Linked DNA regions of Caenorhabditis elegans. The protein of the gene in region 1 purifies or fractionates together with the protein of each later gene. This does not show direct contact. Each region holds a gene or a part of one and is shown on either strand. Other genes may lie near its edges. The genes, in order: sas-6 and zyg-1.

Region 1 (4,097 bases):
CAAAAAATCATATAAAATCAGGAAAAATTTTTTGAATTTTTTATCATGATATTCGGTCATTGTGACCCCATAGGCGTGTTTTGAAGCAATTTTCCCACTGGGCGCACTCCACCTTTAACAGGAAATTACCATGATAGGCTCCCCTGGAACAAAATAGAGACAATTAATCTCGTCAGAGTGAATTCCCGTGATTTTTCCGATTAATTCCTGCTTCTCGAGATCCCACACAGCCATTGTTCCGTTCTTATCGGCAGTTACCATTGTTGATTCGCCGTCGTCACTGAAAATATTGGAAATAATTTTTTTAAATAATATTTTTCAATTTAAAACACAACCCACCGAAAAGCGACATTAGTGATCTTTGCGTCATGTCGGAACGATGTGATGATCTTATCCATTTTCACATTGAAAAGCATCACTTCACCATTTTCCAGCCCTACAACTACCACATCTAAGGCAGTAGTTTGCTCGATAATTGTGATTCTCGAGTCGAAACTTCGCTGGAACTCATGAATCACTTTTCCAGTTCGGAAATTGATAATTTTCATTCGACCAGTGCTACTGCCGACCACGATTTTATTCAAATACGTGGATGGGTGACAGATTGCCGTTATTTCAAAATCGTCGGATCCTTCCATCAATAGGCTCATTTGAAGGCCTCCTTCTGATGTATCAATGACGTGGATTCCAGAAGAAATATCAACTGCGATCAGCTGAGTTCCGATTAATGTCATGATTTTGATCTTGGCGCCCAAGTCGATGGAATCTTTGATATCTCTGCAGAATGCTAGAGAAGTAATGTTGGTTCCGTGAGCAGCGAACACGCTCCTGAAATGATATATAATTATTTTTGCATTTTTCTAAACCGCTTACGTGCTAGAAGACGCGACTGCTGACACTTTATCGCTTAAAGGTTCCGACATTCCAATCGCACGAAGCTTTTTTCCATTGTATTGCATGATTACATTATCAATTGGGCACAAAACTGACAATGCCGACTTTTTTGCGACAAATGTTGAACGAATTGACGGGGCGACCTGGAAAAAATAAGTAATTTCACTTCAGATTCGGAAAAAAAGCTTACATCACCGGTTACCACACCCAAGAATCGATAAGGAGCAAAGAGCTCCGACTGGATGCGCTTCATTTGCTGGAAAAGCTGAAAAAGCTGAAAAATGAGATAAATTGTTAAAAAACGGGATAAGTGGCTCACACAAGAAAAAAACGACGTAGGATTGTAGAAATGATTGAAAATGCGGGAAACTCTCTATTTTCCCTTATTAAATCTTCAAAAATGTGAAAATTTGACGGAAAATGGGCTGAAATGGGGAATTTTAGTTTGTGAAAAAAAAAAGAAAATGCGATTTTTTGTTAGGCGTAGTTTACAATGTTTTGTCCGCAATTGCCAAGTCCGCAATCGCACACCGTAGTCCCATAGAGCGCGCCATCTCAAATTTATTGTTTTTGCGCAAATTTTTTATTCTTCATTTTCTGCTGTTTTTTCCTATTTTTAACATAATTTTTTTCAGATTTTCTCCCACAAAAATGACTAGCAAAATTGCATTATTCGATCAAACACTCATCGCCTCACTTCTACAGCCGTTGAGCCTAAATCAACCGGATTTTAAGTAAGAAAAGGGAGCAAACGATTTTCAAAAGTAACAGAATTTCAGGGCATACAAAACAAAAGTTAAGCTGAAAATATCAGAGCAAAGGAACGAAACCAGTGGAGAAAAGGAGCTAAAATTCGAAATCAGCCGCTCCGATGATTTTGAATTTCTATTCTCGGAAACGTTGAACAACGAGAAATATCAGATTTTGGCTCGAGATCACGATTTAACAGTGGATTTCGATGCTTTTCCGAAAGTTATCATTCAACACTTGTTATGTAAAAATATTGTGAAAAATTTGGAAGAAGATGGGGAGGTTGATGCACGGAAAAAAGCAGGTTATCATAGTATTGCTGATCCAGGAAAGCCGACGGAAATCAATATTATTTTGGATGCCGAGAAGAATTTTTGCTCGTAAGGGAAATAGATTACCTAATATTGAAATTTAATTTTTTATTTTCTTCCAGATTTGAGCTATTCTCGAAGACTCCTATTTCGAAAGGAAAAATCTTTTCCATCAAGCTTCACGCAGTCCGCGGAGATCATTTAATTTCACATCTTCTGAAAATTTGTTCCAGTCAAGCAGTGAAACTCTCCACTTTTTATAAATCTGCAGATGAGCTAGCAAGCCTACGGCAGAAATGTGGAGATTTGGAAAAACAAGTTGAAAAACTGTCTGGTGTGAAGGAGGAATTCGAAGAAATGTCAGAAAAGTTTAAAGAGCTGGAAGATGAGGTGGAGCTGGTGAAAGAGGAAAGAGAGAATATTCGATTATTAGTTGAGGATAAAGAAGATGAAGTGGCTGATTTGAAACAAGACACGGAGTCGCTGCAAAAGCAATTGGAAGAAAATCAGGAGGAGCTGGAGATTGTTGGAAATATGTTGAGAGAAGAACAAGGAAAAGTGGATCAGCTTCAGAAACGAAATGTGGCTCATCAGAAAGAAATTGGGAAGCTTCGAGCAGAACTTGGCACGGCTCAACGGAACCTGGAGAAGGCCGATCAGCTGTTGAAGCGAAACTCCCAACAACAGAATCAACAAAGTCTGGATATGAGAAAACTAGGAGAGCTGGAAGCTGATTTGAAGGAAAAAGATTCGATGGTTGAGAGTCTCACTGAAACTATTGGAATCTTGAGGAAGGAGCTGGAGAACGAGAAATTAAAGGCCGCCGAGAATATGGATAGTTTTGAGAAGCTGAGCATGGAGAATGAGAATCTTAAAGAAAAAATTGCCCATTACCGAGCCCAACGGTTTAGTCCAGCTCCTTCTGGGCTTCCCGGGCTTCAGACCGGACTAACAAATAGGCTTACACCATCATTCAAGCCTGTTCTTGGACCCCACACTCCATATGGAGCTAATTTGAACTCGGTTAGTAGAAGTTCTACGAAATGAGCTACATTATCGATTTTTCCGGCAATTTCCAATTTTCACACAATTTTTGAGCATTTTTCCGAACTGTTTCAACTCAAAAAAATATTTTAATTTGTTCAAATTTCAGCGCACCCCATTCCGTGACAATACAACTCTTAATTTCCAAAATTCGACAATTGCAACTCCTCATGCTTTTCGTTTCAACAGTCAACTAATCGCCGACGAGACTACTGGTTCAAGTGTGACGAACACCCCACCCGCTCAACGATAAAATCTTTTTTATTGATTTTTTCTTGTCCTTTACTTGAAAATAAAACTCTGCTTATTTCATTGAGATTTCTAGGCCACCGCCAGCACTTCAAATGGGGAAGGTTTTTATCAGTTGGGAGTCCTCCGCAAACATTATGACGCCAGAAACTCGCTTGAACATTTTTCAAAAAAAAAAATGACAGACCCGAAAATTTCAGCATTATACGTGGCAGTTCAAGAGGTAAGGAATTTTTTAAAGTTTACTAGGTTTTCTTCAGAAAAAAAACATTTAATTTTCCAGATAAATTCTCTAATTCAAAATGGAACGTCTTGCAGTCGATCTCTCGAGGAAAAAATTGTTGAGCACTTGGAAAATAGCCAACTTTTAGGGAAATTACCGAAAAACAACGGGGATTCTCATGAGGAGGTTGGGAATATTACACAAACGCAGAATTTTTGTCGGTCTCGACACGACACAGTTATTTGCAAAGGGTTGTGTGCCTTTAAAGAGTAAATACTGTAACGTGTAATTCTTGTTGTTGTATCGATTTTCTTTTTGTTTTGTTTTTCGATAAAAAAATATATTTTACAAGAAAACAGTTATTAATCGTTGGAAAATCAGTGAAAACTCACAAAGTTTCAAATTACAGTAGTCTTTAAAGGCGCACACCATTTTTTTTATAGTTAACAAAAATTTGTCGCGATGAGACCCAAAACCGTAATTTTGGTGTAAAATCGCAGAAGATCCCGTTTTTTGTTGAAATATAATTAAAACTTTGAATTTTAAGGTTTACATGGAGGTCACCAAGCACGGACTTCGGATTTCTTCGAGAAGAACACGATTAGTGAAACTGAGGATTCCACTGA
Region 2 (7,358 bases), on another chromosome or scaffold:
TCGCATTCATTGCTGGTGATCTAAAAATTAATTAATGATGCAATTAATTACAAGAAATGGAAATATGAAAAAGGCACAAACCATATAAGTTAGATTCAAAGTAAATTAATTAGATTAATTTGCGAAAAATACTAGAATTTATGATAAATTTAGAAATCAAAATAGGATTGACGGATAAATATGTGCATGAACTAAATAAAAAATCACAAAACGGCAATGGAATTTTGATATTGCGAGAAGAAAGTGAGATAAAGCCTTCAAGACTTTTTGGGAAGGGCGATAGGGCAACAGATTCAAGAAGAGAATAAAAATTTACAAATTAATTATTTTGGTAGATCAACTACGCGGATTTCTTCAATCGGCTCAATTTGATCAATATGACCAATATTTTGATTATGGCGGGGCGTACTTTGAAGTGAGCTATCACTGCTTGGAACGGGAGATCTGTCGAGCACTGAGCCAAGATTAAGAGGAGGAAGACGTTCGTCGGGAGTTAGAATTTCATTAAGCGTTTCAACCATTGGCACAATATCTTCAAGAATTATCTGAAAATTAATTTTTGATAAACGGAGCAAGTTTTTTGAGCAAAAATGTAAGGTGCAACATTTTAAAAATCAATTTTGGTATGATGCATTAAATATTGTTTCTTTTTCTAATTCGCACCTGAATACTACAGATGTCATCGTGCAATTGATTAAGTCCGCTCAATGCAGCCATAAAACCGTCATGTTGTTCTTTATGAGCTCTTGTTTCTTCAATAAGTCTGATCATTTTCGCTTCAACACTCTTGCAAGTTGCTGGAATTTTAGCTTGATCTGCTGCCACTGCTTTCGCATTAACGGCAAAATGTTCTTGTAATCGTGTTGCTAGTCTGAATATGTGACTTTAAAACTTTGAATAAAAGGAATAAATCTTACCGAAAAAAGGGCCGCGAACTGATTTTTTGATGAGTGTAAGAAGCTCCTTGATTCGTTTGTGGATCTCGTTTGCCTATTACGGCTGGAATCACCGGCAAAAAACGGGGAATTTCGGTGAATCTTTTGTAAATTTCATCATCTTCGAGTTTTTCTTGAGGAATATTGCCATCTTTGACCGTGATAATGCCTTTTGATCGTTTAGTACTGGCTCGAGTGAGAAATGAAAAAGACGACTGTTGATTTTGAGGATTAGATGATGTGCCCGCTGTTGACGAGCTTTGTTCGTTTCCCATCTGAAAATTTGTGTAAGAAGTTAAAAAATTACATCAACTTTCACAAACCTTGATTTAATTTTTTGTACTATTGATGGTTGGTCCCATTTGAATTTGATCCAAACCAGTCTCGTTCCAGGTAGTGTTTGGGTCGGCGGGCTGACGAGCAATGGTGGGAATTGCGTCGGTTTCGATATCTGGCTCAAACTCGCGCGGAATTTGAATCTCGGTCTAAAAATGAATAATTTTAATTTCAATACTTACGGGTTTTACACTTTAATTATTCGAAAAGCTTGTCACAAACCTTTGGCAGACGCTGGAATATCCACTCTTTGTCCCACTCTAAAAATGTGTGATCAAGTCGAACTTCTGATGGGACGAACGACATACGATGGCTTTCTCCGAAGTTTCCTTATCCTGTAATCAATAATTTTATGTATTTTTAATCGGAAACGTTTAAAATAAATGGAAAACTCCAAAAAGGAATAAAAAGAAAAATTGTGCAGACCTGGAGAGCGCGTTGAGTTTGAACACATTACGAAACGAGAGACGCAGAGAAAACCGATAACTGAACAGTTGCGCTCTACTGACAGACGACCGAAATATGAATTCTAGTCCCTCGGCCGCCAAAACGGATTTTTCAAACTCCAAATTTATTTTTCCTATTTTTTGTGTTTTTTCATCTTATTTTTAGCGCACCAAGTGTTGATCAACTATGAGATGAGCGGTGGGAAGAGTGGTTCAAGATTGAGTGTAGGTATTTCTACTATTTTTGCCGATACCATGTAAGAATCTATATTTTCTTCAGGCCTATTCACATTTAAAAGAAATCGGGAAAGGTGGATTCGGCGTTGTATATGCAGCACAAAGAGAAAATGGAGAGAAGGTGGCGATTAAGAGGGTAAGTTTCATGCTGTTTTCTAAAGATATTCGAATGGGACAATTTTTCTACTTTTTTTCTTTACAAAAATTGTATTTTCAGATCGATAAAAAGGTGCCAAAAAATCGTGTTTGGACGGAAATTCAAACGATGAAGGAATTGAAGAAAAGCAAATATGTGGTCGAGTTTTACGAAGATTTCGTTGAAGATGGTTATACATACATAGTCATGGAGTTGTGCGAAGGAGGATCTCTTCAAGCTTATGTGCGGGAGCACGGAGCTCTGGACGACGCAACAGCAGTTCATGTTTTACGACAGCTGATTTCTGCTGTATCTTTTATGCACAGGGTGAATGTTATTCACCGAGACCTCTCGGCTGGTAATGTGTTCATCAAAGACTCGAAAAAGAAGAAAATGACGGTTAAACTTGGCGATTTTGGCCTCGCGACCACTCTTGGGCGTGGTGAGACCACATGTACAATTGTCGGAACACCAGGATTCATTGCTCCACAAGTATACGATCAAGAATATACCCAGTCTGCCGATGTATATTCTCTTGGTGCAGTTCTCTATACTATGCTCACTGCTCGTAATCCCCCACCTAAAGGACTACCACCAACCTGCGGAATGTCACCAAATGCTGCTAGATTAGTGGAACAAATGATGGATACAGATGCAAAGAAGCGTATTCCGTTAACGCAGATAGTTTTATCAGAGTTCATGTACGAGAATACGAATGAAAATGCGGTAATCTTCTCGAGAGAACACTCGCGGGATGGACGACGACAGAGATCGAGGGAACCAGTAAGATCCTCAAGAGATGATCGATCTCGAGATGGCAGAGCTCTGATAAGGTCTTCGAGTCAACCTGCACATTCTGGCAGAGCACCGCTGAGCAATCGACCAATTCATGACAGGGTAAGTGTTCCAGCAGATCACAAAAATTTTATTTTATTTTTGACAATTAAATGCATTAAAAATATATTACAATTTATTTTTAGATGCCTTCTACATCTTCAAGAGGATTTGATTCTGAGAGAGGAAGAGAACGGGATAGAGACAGTGGCCGCGGTACCGTACCTCCAAGCCGTGAAGATCGAAACCGTTCACAGTTGTGGCCGATCCGAATGGATAGGTTAGAAGGACAAAGAGTTTGTACTGCTGGAGGACGATATATTGTTGAATTGGATACTCGTTGTCGGTTTGAAGTTGCAGCTCAAGGGAATTTCGTTAAACGAATTTTGATTGTCGAAGTTGATGAAATGGTTCAAACGGTTTATGTACATCGAATACCTGATAGAACAGTACGCGGAAGAAATGGAGAAGAAGAATTGATTACGTTGACGAACAATCCTTTTGTTTATACTTCGTAAGTTAATTATTCTATTAAAAAACGGAAACGTTTGTAGAAACTAGTAACACCATATTTTGTCTTCTTTTCTAAATTTTTAGCTGAAATTATTTTAAAAACGTTCATTCCGCCAATAATTATAACAATGAACAATTTAATATCCTGGAGCAGTTCTCGGTGTTGGACAGTGTTCACATCCTCCTCCGGTTCCTGGTTCTCCCGGTGGTCCTGGCTGTCCGGGTCTTCCTGGTTGACCATCTTTCCCGTCTCTTCCAGGCTCACCTGCTGGTCCTTGTTCACCGTCTTGTCCTGGATTTCCTGGAGTTCCAGGCAGCCCGTCAGGTCCTGGTAATCCTGGAGGTCCCGGACTTCCTGGAGGCCCTTGAGCAACGTTCACTTCATCACATTTTCCTGGCTCTCCGTTATCTCCCGGCTGACCTGGGTCTCCATCCTCTCCAGGCTCTCCATCATCTCCTGGTTCTCCTGGCTGACCTGGTAGTCCTGGAACTCCTGGAAGACCATCTTTCCCGTTTCTTCCTGGTTGTCCCTTTGATCCAATATTTCCTGGTGGTCCTGGTGGCCCTACAGGGCAATCGTAACATGGTGCAGCTGCATCACGTCGTGGAGCTGAATCCTTTGCATCTGTACCGTCTTCTCCATTAAGTCCTGGTTTTCCATCTCTACCATCCCGTCCATCTTCTCCTGGTGGTCCTGGTGGTCCAGATGGTCCGGTTTTGCAAGAACAGCATTGTCCTCCTGGAGCCAAAGAGGATTTGCTGCTACTGAATCCGGACTCGGCATTTGTATTCGATTCAGCGAAATCGTAGCCAGCTTGTTTCTTTACAATAATTCTTCTTCCTTTGATTCCTGATGCGGATTGCATTCTTTCGTATTGAATGAACAATCCAACTGTTCTATGACGACAGAAATCAATTTCGCTGTGCAAATTGGTTTGAACATGTTGCATGTAGTTGTAGAGTAGAGGAATAGCGATAATACAAGTTAAAGTTGATACTGTGCTGAAATTATATTAATTTTAAAAATATAACAAAAATATAACAATTACCTGATGCAAATCCCGAGAAATGCAACCTTTCGAAGCATAGAAGCTTCATGATTCAGTTCCTTCTCGTCCATAATTCCTAATTAAAAGGAGAAGATGTCTTCTACTTTCTGACGGAACCCCTTTTATACATATTATTCGCTTATCTCCGATATTTTTTTCTTTTTCTGAAATAAGCCTTCAGTTCTCCAAAATAGGGCACTTTTTCATCCGCAATAGCTTCTCGTCACCTTAATAGCCACTGCTGTTGTTTTTTTTTCGGTCCGCCGAAATCTTATCATTCAAGATCTTATCTATCGTTCCGTTAAGCTTGTTTCACTTTCTCCCGTATCTCGTGTTTTTTTGAGAATTAAAAATCGGAAAGGTACCGAGCAAGGGTGTCGGTTTTTCGATTTTTCAGAAAATCGAGAAACTAAAATTTTTTGATTTTTGAAAAAAAAAACCTACAAAAAATGATAATGTTTTCTTTTGAACCTTTTTCTCCATCATTCATTTTCAGAATATAAATGCGAATAGAAAGTTGTAGGGGTTTTGAATATCTATTCAAAAAGGGTTCCCACAGGGAAGGATAATCATAAAAGTACAGCAGTACGTGTATCGTACGTGTTGATACCTTCTTAATTGAGCTAATAATTGAATATGTATGTAGGTCATTGGGTTGTAAAATGTGTCTCTTTATGGGGAGGATGGCGATGTGTTGGCAGCTAAATGTATCTCTCTTCAAAAAAATTGAGATTATGAGAGTAAAGGAGAATATGATACCTTGTAGGAGATTGATGAATAAATTGGATAATGTGCTGAACAATTATATTTCATTTGTCACAAGATTTTTCTTCGAATAAACAACAATTACATCTAAACAGAAAAATAAACTATTTATTTCATTTTTAGATTTTCACTGAAAAAACATCGAAAAATGGAAAATTGACCTTTAAATACATAATAATTCAAAAATCACCAATAACAACTTTTTTCAGATATTCCCAAATGCCAAAAGAAGTCCAAAACGATTATATGCGTCTCCAAAAGATGGTTGCTGTGACGATAAGTGGTCGAGTAGCAAAAGTAACATTTCGACGTCCATCACAATTCCCAGATGCTCAAGCTCAACTTATGGAGAATGGAGATCTCCGTATCAAACTTCCGAGATCAGTAATTGTTCGTAAAATGGATAATGGTGAAATTTTCAATTGCATCGATGGAATCGCGACCCAAAAACAGGCAGTTTCTGGAATAACACTTACAAAAGTGAATGAAGTATATAAATATCTAATAAGATTCGAGCAATGTCTTAACGGAATGGATCGAGGAATGGTGTGCTTTCCCATTGTTTTCAGTGCAGGAACTAATATGTAAGTTTGAATTTTTTGGCAAAGACCCTCTAACTTTATTTTAGGGTTGGCAGTTCGCCGTCTTCATTAATGCCATCAGGATCTTCTCAAACTTCCCGATTTCCATTTAGTAATTTATCGAACAATCAGCCATCATTAGTTCCCCATTCGGCTCCTTTTCTTACGAAACCAACTTCATCTCAACGAGCATCATCGGCTAATGTTCAGAGAAGGGTATCAACTGATGAAAATTCGTCACCTAGTGTGGCTCCATCAAAGTATAAAATAAAAATTGTAAGTTTTCAATCTGAGAGCCGTAAAGCATAAATGTATTATTTGAAGGACCCTACAACTCAAAAAGTTCGATCAATTCAAGCAACAGACGGTCGTGTGCTACGATGTTCCACAAGTAAAGCGGATCAATTCATTTTCACAGATCCGGCGATTCGTCCTGATGATCAACGATTTATGCGAACTGATCGAGTACCTGACAGAGCTTCAGAAATGCTTCATACGCTGTGCGAACGTATGAGAAAACTACATCAATAATAGTAATAACTTAGTATACGATGAGTTTTCCTCTTACTTCATGTGCTCCTACATTTTACCACATATCTTTCTGTTAATCCTACACATTCAAGTTTCAAATGATCTTCAGTCATTCTAATGATTCTCTTTATTTTTCTTCTTCACTTCCCTTTTCACCTTTTTCTTTTTTTTCGATTGCATAAAATATACACTTTTAGTTTATAATTATTCAAAAAAACAGCTGGTCGTCATCCAGTTATTTTATCTATGCTCTCTTTTTCTAATTTTTTCAAGCTAATTATCTTTAGATGGCCTACCGATTCGGTAGAAGCCATTGGCAGGATGTTGATCGACTCAATCTGATGACCGTATGCCAAGCACATCAGCAATGGGACAAACGATTGTTAGCGATGAGAGATATTTATGCAAAGGATAACTATCCCCCAGGATACTTCACTGAAAATGTAAGTCTTTTTTTCAAATAATTTCTCATCTAATTTCGATGCACTCTAAGCAATTCTTTTTTCAGTCTTGCCGCGAGGAGCTGGAACGTATCATGAGCCTTCCAACACCAAATCTTCGACTTGGTATTTCCAATACTTTCGTCTACAGTCGAAAGATTATGATGGAAAAATGGGTTGAACACTTTAATACAGAAGTTCGCAAACAAAGAAGCTCCCAGGCAGAACTTGGTTTGGTTACTGTTAGAAATAATGTAAAGTTGATGCAAGAAGCTTTGAAACCTGATATTTCCGAATCAAGACTCCAGGAAATTTTGCAAATGGCGAAGCAAAGTGCTGAACGCCACAGAAATGATGGGACCTATAAAAGAACAGTTGGTTCATTGGACTCGGCTATCGCAGGCAGATTAGAAGCTGAAGGATCTTTGAATCTGGAAACTCTTGTTCTTCCTCCAACCAAGCCTCCCGGTGATGATGTTACAACTGGGTCTCGAGGGTTTCTCACTCCAACACATTCAACGCCTGCGTGAGTTTCAGGATTTTATCTGTCAAAAT

The links.
Region 2: the proteins of sas-6 (region 1) and zyg-1 purify together in Caenorhabditis elegans (affinity purification with western blotting, with the first as the bait; one study listed by BioGRID). This does not show direct contact.

Annotation. Positions count from the first base shown.
Region 1 is NC_003282.8:13,786,158-13,790,254, reverse strand, and holds sas-6 (Spindle assembly abnormal protein 6), read left to right. Parts: upstream 1-1,523; 5' UTR 1,524-1,545; coding exon 1,546-1,628; intron 1,629-1,673; coding exon 1,674-2,024; intron 2,025-2,077; coding exon 2,078-2,978; intron 2,979-3,108; coding exon 3,109-3,252; 3' UTR 3,253-3,310; downstream 3,311-4,097. Other genes in the region: Y45F10D.7 (Small-subunit processome Utp21 domain-containing protein), read right to left, coding at 130-280, 340-828, 874-1,037, 1,085-1,147; icap-1 (Integrin Cytoplasmic domain-Associated Protein homolog), read left to right, coding at 3,427-3,471, 3,532-3,657, 4,019-4,097. UniProt on the Caenorhabditis elegans protein: Central scaffolding component of the centrioles ensuring their 9-fold symmetry. Required for centrosome biogenesis and duplication.
Region 2 is NC_003280.10:5,647,865-5,655,222, forward strand, and holds zyg-1 (putative serine/threonine-protein kinase zyg-1), read left to right. Parts: upstream 1-1,883; 5' UTR 1,884-1,909; coding exon 1,910-1,942; intron 1,943-1,997; coding exon 1,998-2,090; intron 2,091-2,171; coding exon 2,172-2,987; intron 2,988-3,070; coding exon 3,071-3,438; intron 3,439-3,529; exon of another isoform or gene 3,530-3,574; coding exon of another isoform or gene 3,575-4,439; intron 4,440-4,486; coding exon of another isoform or gene 4,487-4,557; exon of another isoform or gene 4,558-4,570; intron 4,571-5,460; coding exon 5,461-5,835; intron 5,836-5,879; coding exon 5,880-6,108; intron 6,109-6,156; coding exon 6,157-6,363; 3' UTR 6,364-6,558; downstream 6,559-7,358. Other genes in the region: ddl-1 (WASH complex subunit homolog 3), read right to left, coding at 1-10; sam-4 (BLOC-1-related complex subunit 5), read right to left, coding at 324-545, 664-871, 918-1,210; F59E12.17 (Anaphase-promoting complex subunit 13), read right to left, coding at 1,265-1,420, 1,494-1,577; bli-2 (Nematode cuticle collagen N-terminal domain-containing protein), read right to left, coding at 3,575-4,439, 4,487-4,557; F59E12.1 (Bromo domain-containing protein), read left to right, coding at 6,651-6,806, 6,872-7,329. UniProt on the Caenorhabditis elegans protein: Protein kinase that plays a central role in centrosome duplication, control of centrosome size, spindle formation and nuclear envelope breakdown during cell divisions.